Neodiprion lecontei: one gene and its partner. The protein of the gene in region 1 purifies or fractionates together with the protein of each later gene. This does not show direct contact. Links are inferred from orthologs where the notes say so. Each region holds a gene or a part of one and is shown on either strand. Other genes may lie near its edges. The genes, in order: splicing factor ESS-2 homolog and protein FRA10AC1.

What was found.
Region 2: the proteins of splicing factor ESS-2 homolog (region 1) and protein FRA10AC1 purify together in Homo sapiens (co-immunoprecipitation; 3 studies listed by BioGRID and IntAct, counting the BioPlex papers as one, with this or other methods). This does not show direct contact. The link is inferred for Neodiprion lecontei from reciprocal best matches to the Homo sapiens genes ESS2 and FRA10AC1.

What each region holds. Positions count from the first base shown.
Region 1 is NC_060262.1:35,270,583-35,275,751, forward strand, and holds splicing factor ESS-2 homolog, read right to left. Parts: upstream 3,171-5,169; 5' UTR 2,986-3,170; coding exon 1,832-2,985; intron 1,700-1,831; coding exon 1,399-1,699; 3' UTR 752-1,398; downstream 1-751. UniProt on the Homo sapiens protein: May be involved in pre-mRNA splicing.
Region 2 is NC_060262.1:20,624,386-20,628,924, forward strand, and holds protein FRA10AC1, read right to left. Parts: upstream 2,757-4,539; 5' UTR 2,627-2,756; coding exon 2,520-2,626; intron 2,369-2,519; coding exon 2,197-2,368; intron 2,121-2,196; coding exon 1,961-2,120; intron 1,883-1,960; coding exon 1,584-1,882; 3' UTR 588-1,583; downstream 1-587. Other genes in the region: cytosolic purine 5'-nucleotidase, read left to right, coding at 1-76, 168-287, 368-538; mpv17-like protein 2, read left to right, coding at 3,842-4,000, 4,081-4,512. UniProt on the Homo sapiens protein: May be involved in pre-mRNA splicing.

The DNA of each region.
Region 1 (5,169 bases):
ACTTATGGTTTTATATCAATGACAATTCAACCGTATAACGGGATAGTGGAAGCGATTCGAATTAATGTCAACAGCATATAACAATATCATAAACAAATCAATGTGGTAAACTATTTGAATATTTTTATAAAAATTTAATCTGCAATCAAATATTGAAGCCGAAAATATTTCTGGCACGTCCAGATTTTACGATTTATCAGTTGACGTACGATTGTATCAAACAAGCTTGCGTTGGTCATAGAATTGAACTATTTCTTAGACGGGCTTTTGATTCACTCAAATTCAGGAGGGAGCAAAAACATGAAAATGCACAGCTTCATGTACTGTCATGGCGATTTATGAGATTCAGCTCGGATCTCCTTTTTTTGCTGGAATTTTTGATCAGTGAAGTTCTCGAATGTAGGTTTCATTCGTCGCGATATAGCAGATATCATTTTCTAATGCACTCTCAATGAAATTACAGAACTAGGGGCCCAGAATAATCACAGTCTGTCCTTTTTCTTTTATAACATACACAAATACTTTAATGTGAGCGTTGTAATTTTTACTTTGACTCTGGACTAGCAGATTTCGTCGATCTAGATCAAATCAAATTTGTTGCATAATACTTTGCGTTTGAATATACGTTTTTAATATCGAGCAAACATTTTAAAATTTTACCAAATTATTTATTCAATAGATATTGGCTGGACATTGTCTCACAGAAGGATCTCTATTCAAAAATAGGAAAAAATAAACAGGTCGACAATACTATGGTCGGTAAGAACTTCATTTATTCATCACTCTGACACAGATTGTTTTAAATTTCGGCACGTTGTGAATAATATTTTTCGTGAAAATGCTTATCGAGCTTATCCGTGAGTATCTACCAGCATATTACCTTTGCGTTCACACCATCGGAAAAAAATGACGTAATGACTTTTCGTAAATTCATTTCTAATGGAATCGCAAATTAGTGTTAATCATTCGTCAATATTACCAAATCAATAATAAATATTGCATATAATAAATCTCCCCAAAAAAATTATTACATAAAACTTAATCTTAAGTACGTATTTACAAAACTTGAACAATATTAACAGTGTTTCCATTCAGCGAAATATAGAAACACGCAAGTGAAGTTAGCCGAAAACTAGTAGTATATCGTTCAACTATTTTACACTTATAAACACAGGATACTCCTATCAAACTAATGAGTAAATACAAGTAACCAGTGGACATTATAAAACTTAAGATATATTACAATATTTGCATAGCATCGACTTAACAATTGAACGGAGTAAGGAACAGACGTGAAATACATATCAGTGGTAGAATTCTTTTGAATTAAATTTATACAGCTTTTGCTTAATTTATACACATACCTCTGCATTTATCAAGATTTAGAATGAAATCGATTCACTTATTGAAAAAATCAGCAGCTCTCTGTCTTTGCGTTGGTAAATTAAGCAGATTATCGGTAAGGACAGGACCCTGCAGTGTCGATGTCTTTTCCAACGCAGAATCTTGACTCTTAGATCCAGGTGTGCCAAATATCGGTGTGTGTGGCGTCCTTACGCCTATAGAAGGAGTTCTTGTTTGTCGAGATCTTCTAGGAGTTGGGGTTCCTGAAAGCCGCAACTTTTGCGTCGCTAATCTCCTCGCAGCTGGTGACATCGTGCTCAAACGATCCATCGCAGATAAAGGTCTGGGTGATGGACTGTAATTGAAAAATATAAGAATTAGAATGGCTGATTAGTGTGAAATTTTTTATATAGTGCAAGAATTGATAAATAAACACAGGGATCAACTGTTCTGCATGAGAAGAATGAAAATTATTAAGACTGTATACCTAGCCAAGGATCTTCTTGCAGCTTCCAAGGCTTTACTTTTCCGGTCTCTGTGCCTCTCTCCAGCTTTCTCTGCCAGTTGTAATGCAATTTTTTCTCTTTTCGGAGGCTCAGCCATTCTGAATGCTGGCCCATGGCTGGTTCTAAGTAGCGGAGTATCACCTCCATCCAGCCTGAATGGCGTCCCTTCTATTTGACCCCAAGTCATAATTGGGCTATCGCATTCTCCAGGTCTAGGACTTGGCGTTGCAACAAAGCTAAATCCATTGACCCTCGGGGTTGGATTACGAACTACTTCTTTTCCATCGATTCCAATCTTGCCGTCTTTAACCTTTGATTGAGTTTTGGCAAGTTCGTTGATCGTTTCCTTATTCTGTTGTTCGTTAAAAGGATTCATTCTAAGTCTGGTATTGTCGTGAATGACTTCCTGTTTCCTCTTAGCCAGATTGATCTTTTCTTCAGGAGTCAATTCAACGCCGTCAGGCACATACATGATATAATTTTTGTTCGTGTAACTCCAGCCGTCGAGTTCCTTGGGTTTTTCATAATTACCCTCAATGCATCTCGTCTCATTTTTGTTCCTCTCAATGGCCAAGACTTTAGACTTTTCTTCAACCTCATATAGCCACGAGTATTTAAGCCTGTGTTTCTTCTCCGACTCTACCATCATCTCCTCAAAACTTGCGTTGTCCTCGCTTGTATGAGAGGTCAAGTAAGCATCAAGACCCATCTTCACCTCCGTCTCAGCGTCGTTAGTAGGTACGTCTATCTCCGTAGACTTTGGCATTTCCATGACGGACTCGTCGGTGTTTCCGTTCCGCAAAGGAGTCTCAAACGTTGCAGGACTCACCGGCCGCTCCGTGATGGGTCGTCCTGAACTGTACTTCTCGTACAACTCGCGCATCCTCTTTATGTTGTTGTGCTCAAGTGCGTCGAGGTAGTCGTTCTGAGCGTGCAACTTTTCAAGGTCAGGGAAAAAGTCCCTCTGTATGATCTCGGCCATCTTACCGATGTACGTATCCTCATCGAGGATCGTCGACTTGCAGCCCTTTCTTCGTTTCGCCACCCCAATTGGCTTTTTAAACACTGCCAACTCCTTTATGTTTCTCGCTGCCTCGAGCGCCTGTGAACCAGGCGTGTCCATCGGCGAGCCCATTTGCCCCTCAGGCGAACGTAAATTTATCACGATTCTACAGCAAGCTTCGATTGCGTTGAACAGAAACTTATACTTTTCAAGTATTTAATGTAAACACAATCAAAGTGAGGTTACGTTCGCGACTTTTACTCGTTTCGACGCCATGACACTTTGTCACTTTTCCAGGTGATGCCATGAGTCGTGGACACTGATTGACTTATTCGTAGAGTGGCGCCACGGCACGGCCAAGCCCAGCAGCCTCGATGAAATGTGGAGTCAAGAAACCTGCAGCGGGAACTTTGAACGGTGTCCATCACTCTTCTAAAGACGTGAAATTAAAAATGAATACGTGGAATCTCAACGTTCGGTGTTTCACTTCAAGTGGTCTTCGAATAGAAGAGTATGTATGATAATTAATAAGAATCTCAAGCACTTCAAGTTAGTCACCGTTCTCAACTATAGTAGAACCTTTCCGAATTATGAAAAACTGCATAGCTTCCTGACTTGCCTCCGATCTGAATTAAGCTTCTTTTACAGTTCAGTCAATTTTGTTACAAGCTAGAGAGTAAGTTTTTACAAGTCAGTTACCCGCAAACAATTTGTAATACGGTAATTAGTATTGCAATTATATTGTGCTGCTTTTCGTACATCGTTCGCGAAACGGAAACAGTGTTCGCTAGCACCGAAAAATAATAATTAGTCCATCGTACAACCTGCTTCAAACGCGCTTTGCGCACTTTCGCTTGAACGATGATATGCAGGTATTTATTTCTATAAATTAAAACATCAAGCCATTCGCTATATCACACAAACGGGTGTAGTAACTTTATTGAAATGCCATGCAACGTCAAAAATTTTGTCCAAAAATTCCCTAAACTCACTGATAGATTTCTTTGCGGCAAATTTATATTTCACCTATCGGTGCAACCAGTTTATAATTTTCGAGTTGGACTAATGTCGTCTATTCTTTCCTGTTAAAAACCTAGAATAATTATTTTTTACTTGCAGGTGTAATTATTCGAGATAAAACTCAGTGGCGACCGATTTGTACGGAGTTCGATTCGAGTACCGAGAAAGTCAGTGGAGTGCAATATTCCTCCTATATCATTGCGTAATATTTGTTATCCGCTAACAAGCAGAACTTACTCCAAAATATCGTCATGTTTAAAACGCGCCAATAAATTTCTGGAATGGAAGATAAAAATATTTCGAAGCCGTCGCCTCAGTTCCAGAGGGAGGAACGACGGCGTTTGAAATCTGGTAAAAGAGGGTACAGGTAAATAACGTGGTGCAGCCATAGCCCGCGATTTGTAAAAGACGCCCCTGCGTTGGCCACTGTACGCAAAGATCGAGTGGTATTTTGGTCGAGCCGTGGCGGCAGGCGAGAGAGGAGAAAACGAGGAAGGCCGAGGCAAGCGCAAGAGGAACAAGACACACAAATAGGAGCGGACGCATAGGAGCTTCGCATCAAAGTGTGCGGAAGATCCCGATGCTCCTCTCTCTCTCTCTCTCTCTCTCAAGTGATTCCGAGGTGTTGGCGAGGCGCGCTGACGGACATATGGGGATTCCAGCAGCGAGATAGGAAAGCCGTGCCGACGACAACGGCCAAACGCCGCAAGTCACTAACTCTACATTTACTCGGCAAGCACCGGGAACACACGACGGCCCCTTGACTTTACTTACGGCCTTTTTCTCTTTATATCGCCATTCGCGTCCGCATGATCGAGAATGGACCCCCGTTCCTCCCATTACCGCCGCGATTAATCGTTTCATGCTATTCATGCAGCAGCTAGCTTATAGAACTTGTTTGCTGACAATTATAGATATTCGCTATCTGAAATAGAATTCTAGACAAATTCTTCGTTTCATTACTTCAAAGTAGTCGTCGAATTCGATCGTTGTAAAATAAATTCAACTTTTATATTAGCTCTAATTCTTCATTTTCATATTCGATGAAACTATCAGCACTCGATAAAAGGCGATCGATGCTAATTTGTTTGCCGGATATTTCAAACATTTCACTTCGTTTTAGAATCGTTTCATTTTTTTTCTTATAAAAATAAAAAAAAATTTAAAAAAAATGGTGCAATTTAAATTCCAACCGCAGGATTCGCACTCACGATCACATGCTTAAGAAAAATAATTCAATCGAATTAATCGGGGTATAACAATTGTATGGTATAATCGTTAAAATCAATTCTAAAT
Region 2 (4,539 bases), about 15 Mb from region 1:
CGACCTCTATGCGGCAACGTTCCTGAATCTAATTTACTATCCGTTTTCCTACATGTTTAGAGCACCTGCAATGCTGGTTGGTAATCCCAAGATGCGTTTCCAGATCGATAAACGGTTTTCATAAATAATTATTCATAACGCGATGCATGTTTTTGTCACATATTTAGATGCCTCATGAAAGTACGGTCGCACATGAGCAGAGATTTGTTATGGAAACTCCAATGATCAGTCGATCTCGCACATTCAAGCTCACAGACGAGGAAGAAGATCAGGGAAAAGTATTCAGCGTAAGTTTTCACATGGAAATATAGGCACTTCCGTGATAGCTAATTACAGAATATTAACTAACTTTGTTGTATCCTCTTAGCAGGGATTAGTCGACATCGATCATACAGGGAGTCAGATACCACATGCAAGGCCTGAAACACCTAGAAATGTGACACATACTCACGACGAAGATTGTAGCGACGAAGATAGCGACTCGCAAAAGCAGGCCAATATCGAAGCACGTAAATTGTCATTGAGAGAAGTAAATTAGATAAGCCGTTAGATGTTGACTATTGATTATTCAGTTTTTAAACTACTCGAATTTTGGCTTTCACCACTGGTCAAATTGTTTGAAGCTTTTAGCCCGTTTATAGGCAAAGAAACAATTGATAATTCTACACGTTGGCGTGTTGTGTAATTAAAATATTGCCGATGGTCTTTATGTAATATACATGATATTGTATACGACGAAAAAAATTTAGTTATAATAATTATTGTTAAGCAACAAAAAAGGACTAGCAACGCCGACGGGTGAATTCAACAAGTTGAGAGGGCAATATGCCCAGTCGTTTACTTAGATTAAGAAGAAATGTTAAACAAATTTTTAGATATCTAGAGACGTTGTATATCATCTGACAATATTGTAATCGTTACATATTACCGTATATGATATGAAATTATAATAAATTATTTTTTATTTACGTTCAGTCAATACTATAGTAATCTTCATAATATATAATAACTTGGAAGGTAGGGGAAAAGAAATCTGCAATAATGGTGCTTGCATGTTGATAAAGTAGTTTTTACTAATCAAATCAATTTTAAAATGGAGGGAAAAAATGTCAAGAAATTGGAAAGCACAGTGTAACAAAAGTCGGAATTCAAAGTGAGATACGTAGCTTAGTTTTTTCACCAGATATTTGAATTATACATACGTACAAAATCCAGAATTACAAAGTTTGCATACGTATAAGCATACAGGTAGACAGAATCTAGCGCTATTTAAAAAAAATTGAATTTACTACGTTATGAATTTTTTATAAATAAAATTTATCTTATACTCCTGACAGGCTAGTAATTTTGAAATCCTGGAATGACATGACATGAAATTAAATATAGCTACTGATGAAACACACCAGATGAACTATATCGTTTTAGTTGAAATCAAAAAACTGATCGATCATAAAACAACCGTTCCTGTCTATGATAGTCTGTAAAATGAAATCCGTTTTTATTAGACAGTGTAATAAGTACACAGTACAATTGTTCTGTGAAATGAGAGTATATTTTCGTTATTTACTACGGTGTAATCTATTTTACATGAACAGTTCATCGAAATACTCTTCGAACTCTTCCTCCCTTGATTTTTCATTGCTATCTGTGGGCTTGTCCTTCCAAATTTGCGATTCCTTAACGGTTTTTTCTTCCTTTTTGTCGTCGGCTTGATCTTCCTTTTCAACTTTAACTTCAATTGCGTCCCTTACCATAGTAGTAGACGTCGCCAAAACTTCTTGGACGTCAACAGTTTTTCCTAATCGTTTTAAAGATCTTCTTCTTTTCACCTCCCGCTTTCTACTATGATGATTTAACTTGAGAGAACATTCTGGACAAAGTCCTGGAAATTAATAAATTTATATGTACTGAACAAGGAAACTGGTCATAAGTTTTTTACAAACAAACGTCGGAGACTCACTCAATTTGACAAGCGCGTTTTTCTTCTCTCCATGCTCGACATAACCGAAATTTACTTCCCAAGTTTTGAGCTCATTCTTTTCTACACATCTCTTGTTTCCACATTGAAACTGACCCTTGCCTATGACAACTTCGTTCTCTGTTCTCCATCGGAGAGCAACCTGAGTTTTAAAAGTGGAACATAAAGCAATGGCGTATTACAAAGCAAAAGTAAAATGGATCAGCGGAAAGAGGTACCTTGTTTTTTTTGTAGTGGGTCAAATCGGATATGCAGTACTCCTTGAACAATTTGTCATAGTATTTTTTTGCCAGTCTAGTTTCCCACGAATCGGGTACGTCGTTATCTTCGCTGTGCCATAAAAATCTGTGCTGATCCCGAATAACATCGGCGTCTGTTTTGTCCCGCGACCTCGAAAAACACGCCGAAACGTCATGATGAACAGGAAGATTATTTTATTATCATCATGTCTCTGGTCAACAGATAACTATCATTCCATCTATTCGAATGCATTTCGAACCTTGTTTTTTTTTTTTTTTTCTAGTAAGTAATTCTCACTTACGTGTCCCGTTTCAAGGTTATGGCTGAACCTTTTCTCGTTAAAAAATAATCATTCATCAACTTCTTGTGACGATCATATGCCGAGAGGTTCGCATATGCAGGAAACATTATATCAACGTTTCGGTTTTTCCATTCAATTACTCGATTTTGCAAAAAATCGCGCTAAACGCGGCTGACACTCAAATTCGTCTTTCTGCACTTGTCAGATGGATTCTTGGTTACGTTTACTGTAGAATAAGTCTATGAATATAACGCAGTGTGTGAGTAGAAATCGTAGAAATTGATTGGCTGGTTTAAAATAACAACCAATCAGATTCTACAATTTCTGCAGTTACGCAGAAGTGTAGCCATCATCGCCATTTTGTATTCATTGTTGAAATTGAAATGCCAAATTATATACCGCCCACTAAAATTTATTTACTCTCAATTTTGTTTACCCCAATAGCTAGTTAAAATTATAAAAAATAAAGTTCGATAGACTGAGTAATATACTTAACTGTTTATCACCCGTATAAGAAATCAGCCAAAAGGCAATAAATTAGCTAGTGTAGCGATCCCTTGACACATAAAGCGCTCAAGCAGTCAAATTCGTTCCTTTATGATTCATATCCAAAGGAAAACGTTTAGAATTATTTTTCACTGCTATAGAAGTTGAAAACATAGAATAAAAAGTTATATATCAAAGATAATTAATAAACCAATACAGAGTTCTGAAATTTACAAGACTCCACCCCAAATGTGAATAGTTTTGATACGAGTAGTTTGCGCATCACGAGTGGTCGTGGTCTTTGCACGTGGCCTCCGATGCTTTCTGCTATCAACCGCTACTCTCGGTAGAAGTTTTAACGTTTTAAAAGATCGCTTTATTTCGTTATAATAGGCATAAGTTGCATTCACCGTTGTTGTAAAAATGATCAAAGTACTGAATCACTGTTGTTTCGATGCTCGCGCTAGTCTTACAGATAACCTTAAATCCTATGTTACAACCCTTGACGCAATTCCCTACGAACTCGGATAACTAGTTTCAAGACGAATACAACTGGCTAGGATATTATTACGTATATTATACTGTGAGTGTAATAACATGTAACACTTTCAACGAAGCAAAAAACATTGTTAAATTACTTTTAGGCTAATAATCGAATACAAGTAACCTAACTTTAACTGATATTTGCCCGCCGTCTTATCTGTAGCAAAAGCATTGATAAACTAAAAGGAAAACTTGTTACTAACGTCATCCGATCGATTCATACCCGCAATTACCTAAGTTTCACAGTCCAATCATCACAACACAACTCCATCAATACCCTTTGATTTCAGAGAATGAGCATAGCTCGTGGGGTGACCCAACTTGGAAGTCGGGTCAATCAACTGAAAGAACAAATATTCTCACCAAAAAACTTATTTTACACCAATATCGCAATTTCCGTATCTCTCTCCGGCGTTGGTGACATTCTAGAACAGCATTACGAAATTCTTCAGGTAACGCAATTCCGTATTTTTTATAAATTCAAAACTCATAGCTAATACATATTAACAAACATAAGTATACTTACATTCAGGGTACCTGGGAAAAATGGAGTCCTGTAAGAACAAGACACATGGCGATATCTGGTATGTCCGTCGGCATAGTGTGCCATCACTGGTACAGATTTCTAGATCGAAAAATGCCGGGTAGAACAATTGGCATTGTCTTAAAGAAGGTATTGGTTGACCAAATGGTGTGCTCTCCTCTTTGCATAGGAATGTTTTTTGTAACATTGGGTATACTGGAGAGAAATACCTGGACAGAGTTTAAGCAAGAAATCAGAGACAAAGCCCATCAGTTGTATCTCGCAGAGTGGATTGTCTGGCCACCTGCTCAAATCATTAATTTCTATTTCTTACCCACCAGGTTCAGGGTGCTATACGATAATACCATATCTCTTGGCTATGACGTGTATACCAGCCAGGTTAAACACGACAAACCAGTAGCTGAAGATAAATCTGAATAACTCAGGCATTTGCTAGATTTATCACTA